3 linked regions of the Pelodiscus sinensis genome follow. The main gene of each other region encodes a partner of the protein of the gene in region 3 in a complex. Links are inferred from orthologs where the notes say so. Each region holds a gene or a part of one and is shown on either strand. Other genes may lie near its edges.

What was found.
Region 1: TERT (region 3) and NOP10 share a complex: the UniProt entries of both Homo sapiens proteins name them as parts of the telomerase holoenzyme complex. The link is inferred for Pelodiscus sinensis from reciprocal best matches to the Homo sapiens genes TERT and NOP10.
Region 2: TERT (region 3) and WRAP53 share a complex: the UniProt entries of both Homo sapiens proteins name them as parts of the telomerase holoenzyme complex. The link is inferred for Pelodiscus sinensis from reciprocal best matches to the Homo sapiens genes TERT and WRAP53.

Annotation. Positions count from the first base shown.
Region 1 is NC_134740.1:2,573,028-2,580,263, forward strand, and holds NOP10 (H/ACA ribonucleoprotein complex subunit 3), read right to left. Parts: upstream 2,546-7,236; 5' UTR 2,441-2,545; coding exon 2,387-2,440; intron 803-2,386; coding exon 662-802; 3' UTR 513-661; downstream 1-512. Other genes in the region: NUTM1 (NUT family member 1), read left to right, coding at 4,304-4,743, 5,345-5,473, 5,549-5,685, 6,363-6,634. UniProt on the Homo sapiens protein: Required for ribosome biogenesis and telomere maintenance. Part of the H/ACA small nucleolar ribonucleoprotein (H/ACA snoRNP) complex, which catalyzes pseudouridylation of rRNA.
Region 2 is NC_134734.1:10,097,429-10,104,937, reverse strand, and holds the start of WRAP53 (telomerase Cajal body protein 1), read right to left. Parts: upstream 3,028-7,509; 5' UTR 2,903-3,027; exon of another isoform or gene 2,820-2,902; intron 2,720-2,819; exon of another isoform or gene 2,387-2,719; intron 2,251-2,386; 5' UTR 2,139-2,250; coding exon 1,933-2,138; intron 1,655-1,932; coding exon 1,556-1,654; intron 1,138-1,555; coding exon 1,029-1,137; intron 580-1,028; coding exon 491-579; intron 272-490; coding exon 181-271; intron 65-180; coding exon 1-64. Other genes in the region: uncharacterized protein LOC102454093, read right to left, coding at 4,047-4,156, 4,347-4,488, 4,825-4,943, 5,198-5,245, 6,343-6,442, 7,344-7,509. UniProt on the Homo sapiens protein: RNA chaperone that plays a key role in telomere maintenance and RNA localization to Cajal bodies. Specifically recognizes and binds the Cajal body box (CAB box) present in both small Cajal body RNAs (scaRNAs) and telomerase RNA template component (TERC).
Region 3 is NC_134712.1:139,865,621-139,873,520, reverse strand, and holds the start of TERT (telomerase reverse transcriptase), read left to right. Parts: upstream 1-4,884; 5' UTR 4,885-5,361; coding exon 5,362-5,598; intron 5,599-7,900. UniProt on the Homo sapiens protein: Telomerase is a ribonucleoprotein enzyme essential for the replication of chromosome termini in most eukaryotes. Active in progenitor and cancer cells. Inactive, or very low activity, in normal somatic cells.

The sequences.
Region 1 (7,236 bases), on a different chromosome or scaffold from region 3:
GGCTGGATCCAAGTAAGCTGGGGGCCACATCCGGCCCTCAGTCTCCCCCCCAGTTTCGAATGACCACTGACAAGGGCCAAATTGGTTCCTGCTTCCAGATCTACTCCCAAAAGCCCCCCACTGTTCCTATCAACCTCACCAGGGGCGGATAAGTCCCTGCTCTCTGCCCCACACCTTCCCCTGCTGGCTGACCCATCCCGAACCACGTGAGAGATCCCCTAGCGCCGTGGTACGAGTGGGAAGTCCAGGGGGTACCTCCCCACAGCTGAAATTTGGAGAAAACTGAATGTTTGCTTTAAGTTTTACAGCACTTTATTCTTTTGGTACTTTTTACACCCAAAAATCTCATCGCCCGCCCGGCTACGATGAAGTTGTTTAAACAAATGTGTTGCAATGGTGAAACCAAGTGGCCTGGCAGCAGCACCTCCAGACAGGTCAATTAGGAATGATTTGGGGGTGTTCCCTGGCAGGCCAGACCAGGAAACGGGAAGGAGCAAACCAGACAGATGATGTGGGATCAAGACAATTTATTTGCTGCCAAGAGGAGCAGGGTTGTGGAGTCGGAGGCTAGACACAGGCGAGGGTCCCGGCGGCAGCGGGGGGCCGGCTTCGGGGAGGAGCCTGGCCCCATCTCGGCTCAGCGGTGGTGCCGGCGGACGGCTCAGAGGACGGCCTGCGGCTGCTGCGTCATCAGGACCCCGAAGCGCTTCTTGATGGTGATGCGGTGGCGGGAGTACTTGTCATCCGGGGAGAAGCGGGCGGGGTGGGCGGAGCAGGTCGGCTGGCCCGTGGGGTCCACTTTCTGCCAGGGAGAAAGGGACAGGATGTGTGAAAGCAACCGGGGCCAGACCCATCGTCCCTGGCTAGCCCGGTTCTGCTCCCTGCCCCACAGCAGTGCCGATGCCCCTCATTCCCGACCCCCTGCCCCCTCCAGCCTTGCCAGTGCCCCTCGCTCCTGATCCTCTGCCCCCAGCCCTGCCAGTGCCCTTCACTCCCGCCCCACAGCCCCTGCCCCCAGCCCTGCCAGTGCCCCTCACTCCCGCCCCACAGCCCCTGCCCCCCCAGCCCTGCAGGTGCCCCTCACTCCCGCCCCACAGCCCCTACCCCCAGCCCTGCCAGTGCCCTTCACTCCCGCCCCACAGCCCCTGCCCCCAGACCTGCATGTGCCCCTCACTCCCGCCCCACAGCCCCTACCCCCAGCCCTGCCAGTGCCCCTCACTCCCGCCCCACAGCCCCTACCCCCAGCCCTGCCAGTGCCCCTCACTCCCGCCCCACAGCCCCTGCCCCCAGCCCTGCATGTGCCCCTCACTCCCGCCCCACAGCCCCTACCCCCAGCCCTGCCAGTGCCCTTCACTCCCGCCCCACAGCCCCTGCCCTGCATGTGCCCCTCACTCCCGCCCCACAGCCTCTACCCCCAGCCCTGCCAGTGCCCCTCACTCCCACCCCACAGCCCCTACCCCCAGCCCTGCCAGTGCCCCTCACTCCCGCCCCACAGCCCCTGCCCCCAGCCCTGCATGTGCCCCTCACTCCCGCCCCACAGCCCCTACCCCCAGCCCTGCATGTGCCCCTCACTCCCGCCCCACAGCCCCTACCCCCAGCCCTGCCAGTGCCCCTCACTCCCGCCCCACAGCCCCTGCCCCCCCAGCCCTGCAGGTGTCCCCCTATCTCGCCCCTCAGCCCCGCCCCCCCAGTCCTGCCAGTGCCCCTCACTCCCGCCCCACAGCCCCTGCCCCCCAGCCCTGCAGGTGCCCCTCACTCCCGCCCCCCAGCCCCTGCCCTCCAGCCCTGCAGGTGCCCCTCACTCCCGCCCCACAGCCCCTGCCCCTCCAGTCCTGCCGGTGTTCCTCCCTCCCCCCCCACAGTCCCTGCCCCCCAGCCCTGCACGTGCCCCTCACTCCCGCCCCACAGCCCCTACCCCCAGCCCTGCACGTGCCCCTCACTCCCGCCCCACAGCCCCTGCCCCCCAGCCCTGCAGGTGCCCCTCACTCCCGCCCCCCAGCCCCTGCCCCCCAGCCCTGCAGGTGCCCCTCACTCCCGCCCCACAGCCCCTGCCCCTCCAGTCCTGCCGGTGCCCCTCACTCCCGCCCCACAGCCCCTGCCCTCCAGCCCTGCAGGTGTTCCTCCCTCCCCCCCCCCCCAGTCCCTGCCCCCCAGGCCTGTCGGTGTTCCTCCCTCCCGCCCCACAGCCCCTGCCCCTCCAGCCCTGCAGGTGCCCCTCACTCCCGCCCCACAGTCCCTGCCCCCCCAGTCCTGCCGGTGTTCCTCCCTGCCCCCCAGCCCTGTCGGTGCTCCTCCCTCCCGCCCCCAGGGTGCTGCCCTGCAGAGCAGGCGGGGCGCACGCCGCTCCCGCGGATCCGGATTCGCTCCCCTTGGGGGGGGGTCCCACCTTGAGGGTGTAAACCCGCTCGCCCTGCGCGTTGAGGTAGAACTGCAGGAACATGCTGCGGCCCCAGCGCCCCGCGCCACGTGCGTAGAACCCGGCGGGCAGCTGGCGGAAGGGCGGCCGCAGGGCACGCTGGGAGCTGTAGTGCGCTCTGGCCCCAAGAACGCGCCGGGCGTTCCAGGGCGCTCTACCCCCAGTGCATGCTGGGAGTTGTAGTGCGCTCTGGCCCCAATGCATGCTGGGAGTTGTAGTGCGCTCTGGCCCCAATGCATGCTGGGAGTTGTAGTGTGCTCTGGCCCCAATGCATGCTGGGAGTTGCAGTGCTCTCTAGCCTTAACAAAAGACAGGACTATGTAGCACTTTAAAGACTAACAAGATGGTTTATTAGGGGATGAGCTTTCCTGGGCCAGACCCACTTCCTCAGATCAAATAGTGGAAGAAAATTGTCACAACCCTATATACCAAAGGATACAATTAAAAAAAATGAACACATTTGAAAAGGACAAATGACATTTCAGAACAGAAGGAGGTTGGGGGGGAGGGCTAATGATATTAGAGGTGATAATTGGGGAAGCTATCTTTGTAATGAGTAAGATAATTAGAGTCTTTATTCAAACTTAGGCGTAAAGTGTCGAATTTAAGCATGAATGACAGTTCAGAGGATTTTCTTTCAAGCATGGTCTTAAAAGGCCTTTGAAGCAGGATGCAGGTAATCAAGTTGTTGAGGCAGTGTCCTTTCTGGTTGAAATGGCAAGAAACGGTTTTTTCTTTGTGATCCTGTCTGATATCTGTTTTGTGGGCATTGATCCTCAGAAGTGTCTGAGACGTTTGTCCAATGTATATAGCAGACGGACACTTTTGGCACATGATAGCATAAATTGTATTTCTGGATGCGCAGGAATATGTGTTCTTGATCTTATAACGCCGTCTGCTATGTGCATTGGACAAACGTCTCAGACGCTTCGGCAAAGGATCAATGCCCACAAAACAGATATCAGACAGGATCACAAAGAAAAAAACGTGGCTCAAATTGCGTCTCTTTTTCTGAGTTTAGGGTGCTGCGTAGACGCACCCTGAGAGGCAGGTCTGACGGCGGTAAACGGACTTAATGGGACAGCGGGAAACTTGGCCACGCCCAAGTGGACACCCAGCTAACTCAAATGCTGCCAGACCATGGCTGTTGCTGGAACAGAGTGTGCCGGACTAGAGAGGTTCAGCCTGTATGCACATTGGGGGTAGTTTTGCCAGGTGTCTCCTATTGGCCCGCACAGTCCGGTATTTGCAGTGTCTGTCCAGTTAAAAAAAACAAGAAAATACCTGTTTTTCTCGGACAGAAGGCTGCTTGGGACTTTCTTCCCCTGCCACGTTCGGTATTTTTGGTGAAACTCTCTGGCAACCCTAACTGGGGGCAAGCGGGAATGTAGCTAAAATGTAGCGTTACGCAGTGCAACGTGCCTCAGTGTACCTCGCCGGCCATCCGGACTAACTTGCGGAAAGGAACAGCCTAGCGTACGACTGTGTTTTGCCCTGTATCATCGGTGACGGGGTGGGACTGTTCTCCAGCATAGAAGGGGCGTGGCCTTGAGTTGGAGGGGCGGGGTCTCGGGAGAGGGGCGGGGCTCAGAGCCAGCCTCCCCAGGGTGGGATTGACAGGCACCAGGAAAGTTGGAGGGGTGGAAGTGGGCGGAGGGGGGGGATTGAGGGGCCCTGGTAGAGCGGGTGCAGGGGAACCCCAGGATCGGGCTCGGAACCCCCCCCCCAGCTCAGAACTCCCGATGTCTCTGGATTCCGGAATTGTTTTCATTCGACCCGGCACCTGGGAGCAAGAGGGGGGGGGAGTTTCCCATCAGCCCTTGCTCTCCGACAGGGGGGGCTGCTGACATCCTCTGCAAAGGGACCCCGTGCACCCCCATCCCCGCCATGAGCGCCCCGCCGCCCCCCCTCCTGCTGCCCACCTTCCCTGGCGCCGCCCTGCTCCTGACCTCGCCCGACGCCCCCGGGGGCAAACTCATCGTGAAGCTGAAGCCCGAGGGGGGCCCGGAGTCGGCCCGGGCCCAGACCATCATCCTGACAGGGGCGCCAGCAGGCTGGGGCCCCCCGCGACGGGACGGGGCCCCCCTCCGGCTCCAGCTGGCCGCCGGGATCCGCACCGTGCTGCTGAGCAAGGCTGGGGAGGAGCTGGGCCCCAGGGAGGCCCCCCCGGCGGCCCCAGCCCGGGCGCCCCCCGCCAGCGACCCCTCGGCCTCCTGCACCTCCAAGGGCGTCTACGAGAACTATCGGCGCTGGCAGCGCTACAAGGCCCTGGCCCGGCGGCACCACCCGGGCACGCCCGACGCCGAGGCCCTGGCTTGCTTCTTCATGTGAGAGCCGGGCTGTGGGGCTGAGTGAGGGGCACCGGCAGGGCTGGGGGGCAGGGGCTGAGGGAGCGAGGGGCACTGGCAGGGCTGGGGGAGTAGGGGTTGTGGGGCAGGAGAGAGGGGCAGTGCTGGGGGAGCAGGGACCATGCAGCGGGAGCAAGGGGCACCAGGAAGGCTGGGGGGCAGGAGTGTGGGGCAGGGCTGGGGGGTAGGGACTGCAGGATGAGAACGAGGGGCACCCGCAGGGCTAGGGGTCAGGAGCTGTGGGTCAGGAGCGAGGGGCACCAGCTGGGCTGGGGGGCAGGGGCTTTGGGTTTGGAGTGCAGGGAGAGGCAGGGCTGGGGGGCAGGGGCTTTGGGTTTGGAGTGCGGGGAGGGGCAGGGCTGGGGGGCAGGGGCTTTGGGTTTGGAGTGCGGGGAGGGGCAGGGCTGGGGGGCAGGGGCTTTGGGTTTGGAGTGCGGGGAGGGGCAGGGCTGGGGGGCCGGGGCTTTGGGTTTGGAGTGCGGGGAGGGGCAGGGCTGTGGGGCCGGGGCACAGGGCGGGAGCGAGGAATAGGGCTGGGGGGCAGGAGCAAGAGGCTCCCCTCAGCGCTGCCGCCCCCCAGCCCCGTGCTGCGGTCGCTGGGCCGGCTGCGCCCCGAGCTGGCGCCGGAGGAGGGGGTGCCGCGGGCCGTGCAGGAGTGGGAGCGCAGCAGCAACTTCGAGCGCATGATCTTCTACGAGATGGCCGAGAAGTGAGTGTCCCCCCCACGGGGCCGCCCCAGGGACCCCCCCCCCCCCGCCCCAGCCTGACCCCTCCTCTTCCTCAGGTTCATGGAGTTTGAGGCCGAAGAGGAGCTGCAGATCCAGAAAATGAAACTCCTGAGCAGCTCCCAGTTCCAGCCCCTCCCCGCCGAGCCCCCCAATCTCCCCGGCCCAGCAGGCCCCGACGCCGGCCAGCAGCAAGGTACCCCCCAAAGGCCGGTAGGGGAGGGAAAACCCCACTTCCCGCCAGCCCACGGGCCGATCTGCCCCTCCTCCCCCTGTTTTTCTTTTGGCACGAGCCTTTCACTTTTGCACGTTTTTTCACACCCCTTCGCACGGCTTTTGCACAGACCCAGCACATTTGCACCCGTGCGGGGTTTTTTCCCTCTCCATAGCACCTTGGACCTTTTTCCCCCCCCTTTTTTTCTGTACATACCGAGCACTCGGGCTCGATTCTTGCCCACGCCTGAGACCTACCTGCTTTTTTGCACAGAATCTGCACGTCCTCGCACGTGCCCTTTGATGCTTTTTGCACGGACCTAGAACGTTTGCACTTTTCAGATCTACCTGGAATCTTTGCCCCCTGAGACTTGGCCCCAGTGGGTGCACCCTGCCTGCTTTTGCACCTACCCAGAATCCTTGCACAATGGTTCACACCCCATCGGCATTTGCACGTGATTTTTTTTCGCACGTGTGCGTGTTTTATTTTTGCTCCCACCGAGCACTTGTGCACACACCGAGAACCTTGCACGCACCCACAAAACCCGTGTACGTTTCCCCCCGTGCAGGATTTTGGGCTGGGTGGAAGGTCTCCAGGACTGGGGGTGCACAGGAGTGTCCCCCTCCGGTCCCTGCATGGTGTCTCCCCTTCCCCGGCAGTGTACATCCCCAAGAAAGCCGCATCCAAGGGGCGCCAGCCGCGCCGCCGCCAGCGCCGCCCGCCTGGCCCGCCGGCCGCGGGGGAGCCGCGGGAGATCCCGCCGGAAGCTGTGCGGCAGTACGCTGAGATCATGGAGGGGCTCCGGCCCGGCTGGGAGGAGGAGGCGGGGGGGCACGGCGAGCCCCAGAGCCCGGCCCCCGGGGCGTTGCCGGACCCGGCGCTGCTGCCGTACGTCGAGCAGCTCTGCGCGGACGAGAGCTTCGTCTGCAAGGTGCGTGCGTCCACCGGGGGGCGCCACATTCCCACCCCCAGGGCCCTCAGGGCCCAGCACCCAGGGCACACAGACCGGGGCAGGGGAGGGGACCCAGGTGTCCGGGAGGGTCCCAGGCCCCAGGGGGAAGAGAGCAGGAGAGGGGAGGGGACCCAGGCATCCGGGACGGTCCCAGGTCCCAGGGGGAAGAGAGCAGGACAGGGGAGGGGACCCAGGTGTCCGGGAGGGTCCCAGGCCCCAGGGGGAAGAGAGCAGGACAGGGGAGGGGACCCAGCTGTCCGAGAGGGTCCCAGGCCCCAGGGGGGAAGAGAGCAGGACAGGGGAGGGGACCCAGGCGTCCGGGACGGTCCCAGGTCCCAGGAGGAAGAGAGCAGGACAGGGGAGGGGACCCAGGCATCCGGGACGGTCCCAGGTCCCAGGGGGAAGAGAGCAGGACAGGGGAGGGGACCCAGGTGTCCGGGAGGGTCCCAGGCCCCAGGGGGAAGAGAGCAGGACAGGGGAGGGGACCCAGGCATCCGGGACAGTCCCAGGTCCCAGGGGGAAGAGAGCAGGACAGGGGAGGGGACCCAGGCGTCCGGGAGGGTCCCAGGCCCCAGGGGGAA
Region 2 (7,509 bases), on a different chromosome or scaffold from region 3:
ACCCACAGAACAGCTGGGAGCCGTCGGGGGTGAAGCACAGAGAGTGAGCGGCTGTTAGCTCATCCTGGGGACAGATGCACAGAGAGAGGTGTCAGGACTCCTGAGTTCTACCTTGGCTCCGGGAGGGGTTGAGGCCTAGTAGTTAGAGCACAGGAAATGGGAACCAGGCTCTGTACCCACCAGGTGGTTGTAGCAGCGGAACGTGGCCCGCAGTTCCCCATGGAAAGCGTCCCACACATGGATGGGGTTGTCTCGGCTGCTGCTGGCAAAGCTGCAGGATCACAAGCGGGAAACATGAGTGTGCAGGACAGGGGGACAATGGTGGAGCCAGCGCTCCAGAGTGTGGACAGGCCACATGTCCCATTCCCCGCCCCCTTGGGCCAGACAGTCCCTGCCCAGGGCCTGATGAGAAAGGCTTGCACTCTCTCTCAGTGCAGTGGGGTAGACAGCCCGTCAGTAGGGGACGCCCTTTGCAGGCTGCAGCATTTACAAGCAGGTGGGGGGATCCGCAGAGCTCATCAGCGGGAACCAGCAATAGTCATAAACGGTGTCTCCCTCAGCCATTCGCAGCACAGGACTCTGGGAGGAGACAGACACACAGATATGGACAGTCAGGCAGCAAAAGGTGCATCACGGCATGGTGGGGCAAGAGAGAACAAACAGAGCCAGAACTCCTGGTTCTGGGGAGTGAGGACTAGTGGTTAGAGCAGGGGGCTGGGAGCCAGGACTCATGGGTTCTCTTCTTATCTCTGGGAGGGGAATTCAGGCTGGTGGGGGAGCAAGAGATTTTAATTCTTCAGACATGTAAGCCACGAGCAGACTACAATTTGGGGGAACACCCCAGCCCCTTTACCAGCTGACTAGCCCCATCCTGCCTGCCAGGACAGCTATGGCGGGGGGCCCTCCATTTAGAGGCTGTCCCCCACCCACACACCCATGGAACCAGCACAATCCCACCCCCACAGGGAGCAACTCTCCCTCGACAAGCTCCTCCTGCCCCACTCCCCAGCAGTGCCCCTCCCTCCTACCATCTCAGCCACGTCCCCCCACTCCGGGCCGTACAGCTCCACGGGCAGGTTGTAAATGCGCAGGGTGTGATCAGCGCTGTTGGTCAGGAGACAGGAGCCATCTGGGGCCCTGGAGAGAGGAAGGCAGAGCCAGGCCATCAGGGTGACCCCTCTGCCCTAGAGCTGGGGAGAAAACCCAGAAGTCCTGGATCCCAGCCCCCACTGCTCTAACCCACCAGCCTCTAGTCCCTGCCCAATGCTCGGCTAGAAATTCCCTGTGCCTCAGTTTCCCCACTCACTCTTCTGTACTGAGGGTATGAGCAGCACCCATCCCATTGTGGGAAGCCCTCAGCCCTGCCCAGCAACCAACACAAGGGGGTCCCAGTCCAGGGAGTTAGAGGAAACAATTTTGGGGCTCTGTGCTGCACTGAGAGTAGCCTATTTCCACGAGGGGGTGCTATGCCACCCACAGCCCTCCAGGGGCCTCCAATCCCAGGGCAGAGTCCCCAGATATCTACCCTTCCCCAGGCCCCAGCCCAGCCACCTACCACTTGCAGCCCTTCAGGAAGTTCTCTGGCACCTGGCTGTATTCGCCCCAAGCGCCTGTCAACAGCTTGGGGGGAGCCAAGAACTCATAGCCTGGAAGGCTGGGAGGGGGAAAAGAGAGGAAGACACTGGTACAAAGGAAGCCCAGGACACCTGCTCTAACTCAAGCAGCTCCCACTGCCCTCAGAGCCAGAACCCAGACGTCCTGGCTCCCAGCCCTTACCCCCAGTTTTAATGAGCTAGTCTCTGGTTCACACAGCAGCTCAAAACACCCCTCCCCAGCTCAGCCCCCACAATCAGAACCAGATGCTCCCCGTGCCGCTGAGATCCAAGATCAGCAGCTGTATGTGTGGGGCCCCACTTGTCACCAGGTCCTTACTAGCCCTCGTCTTCCCATGCCGCTTCTTGCCCTCCATCCTCCACCGCTTCATCCCCGTCCTCTGCCGGCCCCTCACTCTGCACCCGCTCTGGCGCAGATACTGGGGGGGAGCTGTTCTGCCTGGCCAGCTTGGCAGGCAACGCTTGGGACCCGGGGTCCCCTCCAGTGGGGTCATCCACAGTATCACCGGGCATGCCCGGCTCCATAGCACAGAGGGTTCAGCTGGCAGAGCGCTCAGGGATGTCCGTCTTCTGGCTCCAGCTGGAGCTGCCCAGGGTGCCTGGGGAGTCAGTCATTCCCAGAGCGCAGGACGGGCACCTGCAGAGCCAGGCGAGAAAGAGTTAATGGTGCAGAGCAACTGCCAGAGCCTGGGAAAGAACCCAGCTGTCCTGGCTCCCAACCCCCCTGCTCCAACCACCAGCCCCCACTCCCCTCCCAGAGTTGGGGAGCGAACCTTTGAGTCCTGGCTCCCAGCCCCGCCTCCAAGACCAGGTGTCTCCAAGTTCCCGGCTCTTACCCACGATGGGACGGGGGAGGGGAGAGGAATGGCTGGATGGAAGAACCCACTGTCTAGGGGAGCGCGGAATGCATGGAAGAAACTATTCTCGGGGGGGGGGTGGAATAGCCCACTCTCTCCGGTGGAGGGAAGGATAGGTGGAAGAGTACACTTTGTCCTGGGGTGAGGAGGATGGAAGAGTCCAGCTATTTCGTGGGACTAGGGGAAATGGGTTGGTGGAAGAGCCCAATCTTTCCCATACGGAGGCCCCGCGGGAAGGTCCACTTTTTCCCGGGGACGTCTGGAAGAGCCCACTCCCTTAGGGAGGGGGAGGGTGAAAGAGCCCATTCTTCCTCGGGCGGGAGGGAGGAGGATGGAACAGCCCACTCACTCCTGGGGCGGAGGGAGGTGGAATAGTCCACTCTTTGCGGGAGGGCGTGGAAGAACACACTATCTTCGGGGCTCCGCCGTTACCTCCCAGCAGCACCAGAAGCTCAAGGGCTGACGGCGGCCATAGTAGCAGGAGACCCCGCCCCCTCGCACACATCTCGCGAGAGGTGCCCGGAAACGCTACAGGATCCGAACCATTAGCTCCCACGCCCCCCACTGAAATCCCGCGAGATCTCAGCCCCTGAGCCGAGCCCCGTATGTGGCCCAATGGAGGTGGAGGGCGGCTGGGGTGTGTCTATCCGGACTGCGGGGCAGCTGGATCAGGGCGTGCGGGGGCTTGGCTGGGAGGGAGGGTGGTTGGCGCGGGGGACATAGGCCTGGGGGCCATGCAGCATCCCCTTTGGGGGGAGACATTGGTAACGTGCAATAATTGTTTTATTAGCAGGTAACAAGCCAACAGGAGAGAGCCCCCCAGTCCCAGCTCCAACCTGGGACTGTAACAGTGGGGGTGGGGGGATCTTCTAAGGTGCCACTGCAGCTCTCCGGATGCTTGAGTCCCTTTCTCCCAGGCCGGCTGAGTCCCTCCACAGCTGCCTGGATCCTTTCCCTCAGGATGCCTGAGTCCCTCAGCAGCTCCCCAGATGCCTGGGTCCCTTTCTTACAAACCAGCCCAGTTCCTCAGCTACTTCCCAGATGCCTGGCTTCCTTCCAGGCTGGTCAAGCCACCTGGGCTAGCACTGTTTGTGCTGTACCCATGTGGCTGCCAGGCATCTCTGTGGCCTTGGATTTTGTACAAAAGCCAGATGAGAACCCAGGAGTCCTGGCTCCAAGCCTCCCTCCTCCCCTGCCCCACTTCTAGTCCCCACTCCCTTCTCAGGTCCCAGAAGTTCTGGCCTCCAGCCCCACCGTTGCCAGGATTGTTCAAAGGCCTCCATGATGCAAACTCCATTTGCAACCTTCACAAAGTTTTTTTTTGCCTGGAGTTTCCTTAGTTGTATTGGTTTGTTTCAGGGCAGGTGTGCTTGTCAGCGGCCCCTGTTGGCCAGGGTGGAGTTCTGCTGCCCTCTGGTGATGAACCCCTTTCACACACTCCTGATGGGAGGTTTGGCTCCTGAATCTCTGGTGGCTGAATTCCTCTGCAGCTCCCTGGACACCAGTGTCTAAGTTCTGCCCATCCTGGCCAAATCCCTCTGCAGCTCTCTGGATGCCTGGGTCTCATGGGTGGGCCCTACAGGCGGAATAGGCCCAGGAAGGTCCCATGGGGGCTAAGGTCCAGGGATGCATTGGCTCGAGGGATGCGAAGGCTTAGTCGGTCTCCGCGCTGGAGTTGGAAAACACCTGGGGGGACATTATGGGATGTGTGTGGAGAGCCCACCTCCCAACCTGCTCAGGGACAGATCTCCCCATTCCCTGTAAATCACTCCCCCAGTGGCTGCTTCTCCCTTTTTCCCACTTGCCCCCCCCCAGTGGTCCTTGCCCTGCACCCCCAATAGCTGGAGCCTGCCTCCCAATGCCAGGATTCCCTCACCTGCGCTGTAACAACTGTTGTAGGCTTGCTCCAGCTCACGGGGCATGCTCTGCACACAGCGCAGCAGGATCTGCCCCGGGCCTCCGAGTGGTGCCCGCCACAGCACCTGCCCCATGGTGAATGTAGGGTCATGGAACAGCACCTGGGGGGCAGGGGAGAGGATTGGATTGGCTGTCACTGGGGAATGGGGCAGGGGACTTGTCACCTCAGGGGGGTGCCAGTTCCCATCTGACACCAGGGCAGGAAATGGCTGGCTCAGGGGAGCAGGCAATGGGGCATGGGGCCTGTCCCCTCTAGGTGATGCTGGCGCCCATCCAGCCCCAAGGCAAGGATTGGCTGGCCCACGGGGTGGGCAATGGAGTACAGGGCCTATTCCCTCTAGGTGGTGCTGGCTCCCATCCAGTCCCAAGGTAGGGATTGCTGGCTCAGGGGTGGGCAATGGAGTTTGGGGCTGTCCCCCATAGCAGGGGGCTTTTACCTGGCTGTAGATGAGGTACAAACCCGTCTTCTTCACAGTGATGTCTGGGCCACTGATTTCCAGTGCCTGGCCCTGCTGCAGGAAAGGCTGCCACCAGATCTCAGTCATGTCCCCTTCGTCTGCAAAGCAGATGGGAGGCTGTTAGTGCCCCTTTGCTCCCAGCTCCTCCTGATCTACCCTGTTGGAGCCAGCTCCCCTCCTGGGACAGGAGAAAACCTAGGAGTGCTGGCTCCCAGCTCCCTCCTGCTCTAACCCACCAGCCCCTACACCTCTCCCAGAGCCAGGGAGAGAACCCAGGAGTCTTGATTTTCAGTGTGGGTCACCCATAGAAGGAGGGTACTGTGGTAGGGTGTTGAGGGGGTTGATGACTCACCATTGGTGGAGCAGTGGCTGGGGGCCAGATGCAGAACCGATCGTTTCCCTGGGGATAAGTTGGAGAGAGAGAGACTGTGACTTGCCAATTTCCCTCCCCATAACCTGCCCTTCCTCTCTGTTTGCTCTCCTTTACCCTAGGCTGCCAAAGCTTGGATCTGCCACTGGGAACTTAAACAGCCCTACCAGGTGGCACTTGATCCCACTGCTCACACCAAGCAGTGTGAGCCAAAGGGCTTTAAGTCTGGTGTCCCCAGAACTGCCAGGTTACAGCCCAACCTCAATGCTAGGTACTATCCCCAGAGCATCTCAGGCGGCACCACGCAAGGTCCATAGTTTCACAGAGATAATCAGTGAGGGATCCCATCTCTGCCACCATCTCAGCTTGGGGTTCCACTGTGGGAGCAGGGAGTAACAGCTCTTACCAGAAATTGACCTGAGGTCAAGAATTGGAAGCAGAATCCAAGCCTGATACCTCTGCCATCAGGGATGACTCCAGATTAAGAGAGGTGAGATCATCATGTGGTGCTTCCCTCCCTGAGTTTGTTACTTTCCATTCTCTCGTCCTCCCCCCCCCCCCCCCGCAGTCAGTCCCTGCCCTAGGGGCTGGATGGGAGATGGTGGTCCTTAGAGAGGAGAGGCTCTATCTGTGTCCCATCTTCTGCACACAGGGGCTGTGTCTACATTGGCATCCCTTTCTGGAAAAGGGATGCTAATGAGACACTTCGGAATTGCAAATCCGCGGGGGATTTAAATATCCCCCGCGGTATTTGCATTTACACGGCTGCCGCTTTTTTCCGGCTCGGGGTTTTTGCCGGAGGATCCCTTATTCCTACTTGAAAGTAGGAATAAGGGATCTTCCGGAAAAGGGCTTATTTTCCGGAGAATTGCGTCTATACTGGCGCTTTTCTCCGGCAAAAACCCCGAGCCAGAAAAAAGCGGCAGCCATGTATATGCAAATGCTGCGAGGGATATTTAAATCCCCCGCGGATTTGCAATTCCAAAGTGTCTCATTAGCATCCCTTTTCCGGAAAGGGATGCCAATGTAGACACAGCCAGGGAGAAGAGGACACACACACATAGATTGACAGCTGCAGCCCCTTGTCCCTTCCTCCCTCTTGCCTCCCGCCAGCCCCAGACACTGACTATGTGGCTGTCGCTGGTCCTGGTCCCTTGAGTTCTCGGAGAACCTCTTCCCTCTTTGCCGCAACAGGGTCCCCAGGAGCAGGCCTGGCTCCCCGGACTCCTGAAAGAACGACGGACAGGAGAGGGTTAACCCCGGAACAGAGCTATTGCTCTAACTCCTACACGCCACTCCCTTCCCAGAGCTGTGGAGAGAACCCACAGGAGTCCTGGCACCCTGCCCTCCTGCTCTAACCCACCAGCCCCCACTCCCTTCCCCGACCCGAGCAGAGCACCCGGGAGTCCTGGCTCCCAGCCCTCCTGCTCCAGCTGTCCCCACGCCCCTCCCGGATGTGGGTGTAGCTGGGCAATGCTCGTTGGAAGTGGAACTAAGGAAGCGAGGCCGCTGTTCAGCTCTGTAAAGATTACCCAGACCTGCAGGGCAGTTACACAATGTGCAGGGGCCCGGGGAGGGGGTCGGGGGGCGGCCTGGGCCTGGGTTCCCTCCCCGGCTCTGGGAGGCGGTGGGGGCCGGTTGATCTTAGCAGAGGGTGGGCGGGGAGCCAGGGCGCCTGAGTTCTCTCAGCAGATCGTGGACAGGAGTGGGGGCTGGGAGCCTTCCCCTCCCCCTCGCGGGGTTTCCCAGAGCTGTGGGTCGTTTCCTCCTCCTCCGCCCGCGCTAACGATCGGTCCGGGCTTTGCGTTTGCGGCTTCGCATGTCCCCCAGCCCCGCGCCCACCCCAATGGGGGGGACCCTCAGTTTTTTAACCCTTCTGGGGTCTTCCCTCGTGGAGAATAAGGGGAGAGCGAAAGCAAAGCAGCGCCTCGGATTTTCCCTGGTAAGATGCCCCCTCCTAGGGCCGGGGAGAGAACCCAGTCCTGGCACCCAACCCCCCCTCTAACCAGCAGCCCCCACTCCTCTCCCAGAGCCGGGGAGAGAATCCAGGAGTCCTCCCCCCCCCATGTAACCACTTGACTCCCTTGCTCTCATAGGGCCCCCTGTGAATCGGGGGGGGGGTCCTCACCTGAGTCACTTCTGGGGATTGGGTCTCTCCTCTCCTGGCAGCCGCCAGCTCCCCCCGCAGCCGGGCCAGCTCCCCCCGCAGGGCCCCAAGGCTGGCCTGCTGCACTGTGAGGGCCATGAGACAGGCTAGCACCCCCAGGGCTGCACCTCCTCCCAGCCACAGCGCC
Region 3 (7,900 bases):
CTGTTCTTTCCCCACCAAGGGCTGTCCACCTCCTTCCCATAGTGCATTGCCTAGTGCATTAGTCTGGGAGCTGACCTTGTCTGTGAAGACAGAGGCAAAGAAAGCATCAAGTACTTGAGCTTTTCCAACATCATTTGTCACTAGGTTTCCTCCCTCATCCAGTAAGGGCTCAACACCCTCTCTGATCACTCTTATTGCTAACATGCCTGTAGAAGCTTTTCTTGTTACCCTTCAAATCCCTTGCTAGCTGCAATTCCAGTTGTGCTTTTGCCTTCCCTGCATTCTTGAGCAATATATTTATACTCCTCCCTTGTCATCTGTCCAAGTTTCCACTTCTTGTAAGCTTCCTTTTTGTGTTTAAGCTCACCAAGGATGTCCCCTTTAAGCCAATCTGGTTGCCTACCATATGTGCTTTTCTTACTGTGCATGGGGATGGTTTCTTCCTGTGCCTTTTTAATAAGGCTTCTTTAAAATACTGCCAGCTCTCCTGGACTCCTTTCCCCTTCACATAAGCATCCCAGGGAGTCAAGTATATCTTTTTGTTTTAATAAAAGCACCCTTTTTAAGGTGATGATTTGATTCTTGTGTCCTGGAAGATCATAGGAGGTCTATGTATAGGGTTGCCAGGTGTCCGGTCGGTATTTGTGGCTTTTGTCTGGTTTAAAAAAAAACCCTGAAAATACCAGACATGTAAAATATACGGTATTTTCTGTTTTTCTCGGATTGAAGGCTGCTTGGGACATTCTTCCCCCGCTGTGTCTGGTGGGAGCAGGGGAGTGCAGGAATTCAAAGGGTCCATGACTCTTATTTTTTGGTCTTTTTGGGGGGGTGGGGTTTTTTGTTTTAACTTTTGGTTCTTTCTTTTTTTCTTTTTTGCTCAACCAATTCTTTTCCTGCCATGTTTGGTGTTTTTTGTAAAACACTATATATATGGATGCCTAAGACTGAGGGTCAGCTATCAGAGATTCCAGTTTCTTTTCTCTTTCTGCAAAGCTCTCTTTTGGTAAAATCAGGTCTTCATCACGTGATCCCTCTCCTGTCATCCATTTCCAGATAAACAGAGGCTAGGGACAAGGTTCCTACCCATCCTAGCTAATATGTCCATTGATGGACCTAACCTCCATGAATCTAGCTCTTTTTTTAACCCTGTTAAAATCCTAGTCTTCACCACATCCTCCGGCAAGGAGTTCCACAGATTGTGCACTGAGTAAAGGAAAACTTCCTTTTGTTTGTTTTAAACCTGCTTCCTATTAATTTCATTTGGCGACCCCTAGTTCTTTCATTGTGGGAATAAGTAAATAACTTTTCCTTACTCACTCCTTCTACAACAAAGTAATGATTTTATAGACCTCTATCATATCCCCCCTTAGTCACCTCTTTTCTAAGCTGAAAAGTCCAAGTCTTTTTAATCTCTCTTCACATAGGACCCATTCAAACCCCTAATAATTTTTGTTGCCTTTTTCTGAACCTTTTCCAATGCCCATATTTCTTTTGAGATGAGGCGACCACAGCTGTACTCAGTATTCAAGATGTGGGTGTACCATGGTTTTATATAGAAGCAATAAGATGTTCTCTTTTTTTTTAATGATTCCTAACTTTCTAGTTACTTTTGACTGCCACTGCACACTGAATGTATGTTTTTCAGGGAACTATCCACAATGACTCCAAAGATCTCTCTCTTGAGTAACTGTAGCTAAATTAGTCCCCATCATATTGTATGTATAGTTGGGATTATTTTTTCCAATGTGAATTATTTTACATTTATCAACATTTCATTGCATTTGCCATTTTGTTGCCCAATCACTTAGTGCGGTGAGATCATTTTGAAGCTCTTCACAGTCTGCTTTGGTCTTAACTATCTTGAGCAGTTTGGTATCATATGCAAATTTTGTCACCTCACTGTTTATCCCTTTCTCTAGATCATTTATAAATAAATTGAATAGGATTGGTCCCAGGGCAGACCCTCGGGGGCTCCATTAGTTATCGCTCTCCACTCTGAAATCTTACCATTTATTCCTACCCTTTGTTTCTTGTCTTTTAACCAATTACTAGTCCGGACCTTCCCTCTTATCCCATGACAACTTATTTTACTGAAGAGCCTTTGGTGAGGCTGAGGTATCTTGTCAAAGGCTTTCTGGAAATCTAAGTACACTATATCTACTGGATCCCCTTTGTCCACATGTGTGTTGACCCTCTCAAAGAACTCTAGTAGATTAGTAACGCATTATTTCCCTTCACAGAAACCATGTTGACTTCCCCCAACAAATTATGTTCATCCACGTGTCTGACAATTTCATTTTTTTACTATAGTTTCAACTAATTTGTCTGGTACTGACATTAGATTTTGCCAGGATCACCTCTAGAGCCCTTTTTAAATATTGGCGTCACGTTAGCTATCTTCCAATCATTAGGTACAGAAGGATAGGTTACAAACCAGTTAATAGTTCTGCAATTTCCCATTTGAGTTCTTTCAGAACTCAAGGGTGAATGCCATTTGGTCCTGGTGACTTGTTACTGTTTATCAGATTTTTTCCAAAACCTTTTCTAATGACACCTCAATCTGGGAAAATTCCTCAGATTTGTCACCTAAAAAGAATGGCTCAGGTTTGGGGATCTCTGAATTAAATAATTCATTTAGCTTCTCTGCAATTACTTTAGCATCTTGATCTTCCAGGGACTCAACTGGTTAAGCAGGCTTCCTGCTTCTGATGTACTTAAACATTTTACTATTAGTTTTTAGTTAGCTGTTCTTCAAACTCCGTTTTGGCTTTTCTTATATTTTTACACTTAATTTGACAAAGTTTATGCTCCTTTCTATTTTTCCCACTAGGATTTGACTTCCACTTTTTAAAAGATGTCTATTTCACTGATTCTTTTACTGGTTGTTAAGCCACAGCAACACGTTTTTGGTTCTCTGAGGCTATGTCTACACTGAGTTTAGCCGAAAGAGGCAATGCAAATGAAGCACAGATTAGTATTTTCTCGTGCTTCATTTGCATAATCTTTTCCGAACCGTTTTTGCACAAAAGCAAGCAGGGTGGATGTTTCCTTTTTGTGGAAAAACCCCCTTTTTGCACAAGATCCTTATGCCTCAAAAAAGGAGGTATAAAGATCTTGCGTAAAAAGGAAATGTCCACACTGCTTGTTTTTGCACAAAAACTCCTTGCGCAAAAACGGATCAGAAGATTATGAAAATGAAGCGTGAGAAAATGCTAATCCGCACTTCATTTTGAATTGCCTTTTTCAGCAAAACTCATAGTGTAGACATAGCCTTACTGCGTTTTTTAATTTGGGTTATACTTTTAAGTTGGGCCTGGTGCTATGGTGTCTTTTAAAAGTTTCCATGCAGCTTGCAGAGCTTTTACTTTTATAACTGTACCTTTTAATTTCTGTTTAACCTCCTTGTTTGTGTAGTTCCCCTTTCTGAAATTAAATGCTAGTGTTGGGCTGCTGAGGTATTTTTCCCACCACAGGGATATTATTACATCTGGTGTGGGAGGTCAATATTGTTCTTTGTAGGAAAGTAGCTAGTGAAACCCTAGGACCTGGATAATGCTGTCAATTAATGCATCAGTGCAGGCCTGCTTGGGAATGGACCAATGGGGGCACAGAATGGGCTCTTTCTAGGCTACATCTACACTGGCAGCTTCTTCCACAAGAACTGTTTTGCGGAAGACTTCTTGCACAAAAAGTCTTCCACAAGAGCGTGTCTACACTGGCATGTGTTTCTGTGCAAGAGATGTGCTTTTGCGCAAGAGCATCCATGGCAATGTGGACTTTCTCTTTGCAAGAAAGCTCTGATGGCCATTTTAACCAAAGGGGCTTCTTGCTCAAGAAATTCATGTTGCTTGTCTACACTGGCCTCTTCTGGAAGAGCTCTTGCACAAGAGAGCTTCTTCCTGAGAGGGAGCATCAGAGTTCTCGTGTAAGAAACTCTGATTTCATACAGTAGAACGTCAGTTTACTTGTGCAAGAACACGTGGCCGGGTAGACACAGCCTTAGTGTCTTCTTTTTAGATCCTCTCTCCTTTGTTCAGGCACATTTTTTTTTCAATTAAGAGGCAATAAAGGGGTCCAGGAAAACCTAGACATGTGCTAACCCTAGGTTGTAATAGTACTTGTTCAAGTTCTGCAACTTAGGAGAATCATGCATCATGATTCTGCATTAGCAAAACTCAAGAGAACTGTTCAGCACAGGGTCCCTGTTTCCGCCAGAGTGCTGTGGTACACTGGACAGTGGGAGTTAATGGCCCTGTGTGAACATGACTTTCAGCTCCCACTAATCCATTGGTAAATCACAAGTATAGCACAACACATGGAGCCAGGTGGCAGCCTGAGGCACAATGAGATACTTACGGGTGATGCTGCACCACTGAGGCAATCATTCATGTGTGATGACCACAAATGCCCAAGTAGGCATGTGCGCAAGCCTTACACAAAAGTTGGTGGCTGTACATTGACCTAACATGGGCTAACCAAACCTGGCAGTGTGGCTGCGGGATAACACCACTATTTGGGAATGTCCTGGTTTACATGAACCTGCAGGGAAGTTGAAAAGCATCAGAGGGATAGCGGAGCAGGTCTGTAACTGGAAAAACTTAAGCAAAATGCAGGACAATGTAGCACTTTAAAGACTAACAAGATGGTTTATTAGATGATGAGCTTTCGTGGGTGGGTCTGGCCCACGAAAGCTCATCATCTAATAAACCATCTTGTTAGTCTTTAAAGTGCTACATTGTTCTGCATTTTGCTTCAGCTACCCCAGACTAACACGGCTACATTTCTATCACTGGAAAAACTTAAATAGTCTTGTGGCACCTGTGAGACTAACACCACCTGGAGATGGTACCTGAGCTTTCGTGGGCACAACCTACTTCTTTCACCTGAAGATGTGGGTTATGCCCAGGAAAGCTCATGCTGCCCTCTACATGTTTTGCTGGGCTGCAACCCTACCTCTTACTGTGAGACAAAGAGCTTGTGGGAGCAGTTTACTGCCACACACGCAGCACCTTCCTCCAGCCCAGCCCCTAGCCCGCCCTCCATCTCAGCTCCTGCATAGCGCCCCCCTCCCCTCCCGTTCCAGCTCCTGGGGGCGGGGGGGGGCTCCGGCGCGCGGGGTAAGGGCGGCCCTTCCATGGGGGCTCGTGCAGGCCTTGCGCGCAGTGCGAGCACTTACTGGAGCCGAGGGCACCTGGGGTTTCCTGTTGGACCCGGGCCCGGGGGAGCGCGCCGCGCCCGCAGCTGCTCTCGGCCCGGGGAACGCGCGAGGTGCAGCAGCAGCAGCAGCGGCGGCGGCGGCGGCGGGCGAGGCGCGAGCCTCTCGGAGCCATTAGCGCCGCTGCGCTGCCCGGCTCCAGAAGCATGGCGGGCGCCGGGCCGTTCCGTGCCGTGCTGGCCATGCTGGAGGGCTGCTACGCTGAAGTGCTGGGGCTCGAGCGGTTCGTGCAGAGGCTCCGGGAGGCGGCAGCGTGCGGGCCGGGCCACGCTGAGCTGCTGCAGCAGGGAGACTCCGAGCTGTACCAGGCGTTCGTGGCCCAGTGCGTGGTGTGCGTCCCCCGGGGAGCCAGAGCCATCCCCCAGCCTGTCTCCTTCCAGCAGGTACTTGCGGCGGCGGCGGCGACTGGGGAGGGGGCTGTAGGGCTGGCGTGCCTCACGGGGCACTTGCTGCCTCCATCGCAAGCCTTATGCTTTGGCGGCGCGAATAGTTCCCGGCTGCTTGCCCCGGCTGCGGACTGACCTTGCTTTTGCGGAGCAGAGGCTAGTTCCAGAGCAGGAAGGGGCGCTCCGCTGCCTTTTCTCCTCTTCCCATGGAAAGAGCGAGGCTGCAGTGCCCCGCGCGGGCTGCCTATGCTCGCTCTTCTGTCTCGGTGCTTTCCTCTCGCTTGTCTCCCGCGCCTGGGCTTGCGTGCGAGTTAGAGCCTGCACATTGTCTTGTAAGACAGCAGCCACTCAGATGTTTACTTTTCCGTGTGGGGCCAGGTAATCGCTTGGCCCTGGGGGGGGAGGGAGGGAGCGGGGGGGGGGTCGGGCTGAATCTTAGCTTCTTCTGCCACAAGCCCTGCAGCGGGGTGGTTCTTCCCTCCCCTGATGGTGATGGATGAGCACGTGTCACCAGGCTCCTAGGCTGCAGCTAGATGAGAGTGAGGGTTAAATGTAAGATTACATTCATATGGTTCCATGCCTTTATGTTTTCCTTGTTCGGGTTGGCCCTCCCTGGTCCAAAAAGAGGGAAATTTGCTGGACCAGGAGAGGTTGCCTGCCACCAGCCCTGTCACCCCCCACTGCCTCCACTTCTGCCCTGGCCATCCCCCACTGTCTCTAGCCCAGCTGGGCTGCTGGCCCTTCCCTACTGCAGGTTATGTTTCCACCCTGGCTGCCCCCCTGCCTCTAGCCTGGCCGGGCCATTGGCCCCTGCCTATAGCCTGGCTGGGCACTCTGCCCTGGCCGTCTGGCCCCCAAGCCCTGCCGGCCTCAGTTTTACTGCCACAAGCCCTCCTGCCACGAGACTCCAAGCCCCAGGGCTCTCTGGCACTGAACCACGGATGTTGCCGGACCAAAGTGGCCCAGTTTTGGGAAGTGCAGCCTCTATGCTACCATCAAAACCAGGGACAGGGAACCTCTGGCCTGTGGGCAATTCACCAGGGTTAGCTTGGTGGGCCACCAAATGCATTGTTTTCCTGAGTGTCCACATGGCTGCTCACAGCTCCTAGTGGCTGTAGTTTGACATTCCCAGCCAATAGGAGCTTCAGGAAGCTGTGTCACTGTAACTGCCACTGTGTGGATTTGAACCTGGGATCTCTGACGCGGAGTATAGGAGCCTCTACCTTGGGAGCTAAAAGCCAGCTGGCTCTCAGCCCCAGCTGTAGAGGTCTCTTGAGCTTAACTGTTGCTGTGGTCTAGGTACCACTTGCACTGCTTAGTAACCACATTAGGTGTGTGGGTTACACCACTTCCCGCAGCTCCTATTGGACAGGAACGGTGAACTGTGGCCACTGGAGCTGCGAGTGGCCGTGCCTGCAGACACTCACATAAACAAAGTGCCTGGCGGGCCGCATCTGGCTACCATGCTGGAGGTTCCCCATCCCGGATCTAAACATTGAAAAAGAAACCGTAATTTTTGTTTAATTAGAGCTTGTGATGGATGGAAGGGGTATCCACAAGAGATCTTTTCTAGACATATCAGCCATTCTATTAATTAAATTGCCTGTAAAGGGTTAAACCCAAAGACAGTGGGTCTCCAGGAAGTGTTATCAGGGAGCCAGGAGAGCCAATGGGAAGAGAGTGAGAGATTTGAATTAAAACAGGTTCTGTGATATGGGAGGAACATGACCGCCACCATCTGTTCCTTGCCCTTTGAGGTTACTCCCCTCTGGCCCTTCAATGACATCCATCCTTATTTTCACTGTGCAGCTCTGCCTTGGAGATGAACATCTGGCCCTGATCTCGTTTGGCTGTTTTGTCGAGATTGGTTGCTCCTGGGCTACTCTGCCCAACTGCAAATATGAGCACTAGGCTATTTTCTGGCCCTTCTGTAGCTTCAGTTGCCCTGAAAGCTATAAAAAAAATAATTTGGTTTGGATCACTGGCTTTGCAAGTTGAACTTTCTGTGAGCCTTTTTTCCCCGCAGGCAGTAAAAGAAAAAAAATCCCTAAACTTTCAAATAGTCAAAAGGGGGGGAAAAAGCATCCTTTTAAAATTGAGTTCTGTGTTCCTGGTTCAAAATTATTCCACCTCTGCCACCATGTCAATGCGGTTTCCCACTCTGGCACTTTGAATGCAGTAGGTGGGGACCCACAAGAAATCTTAAAAATACCCTGCCACTAGAGGCTTCTGTGGTTTTTGTTTGTTTGTTTGTTTTTTAACACTTCCCCAAACGTTCCCTGACTTTGGGTGGTACACT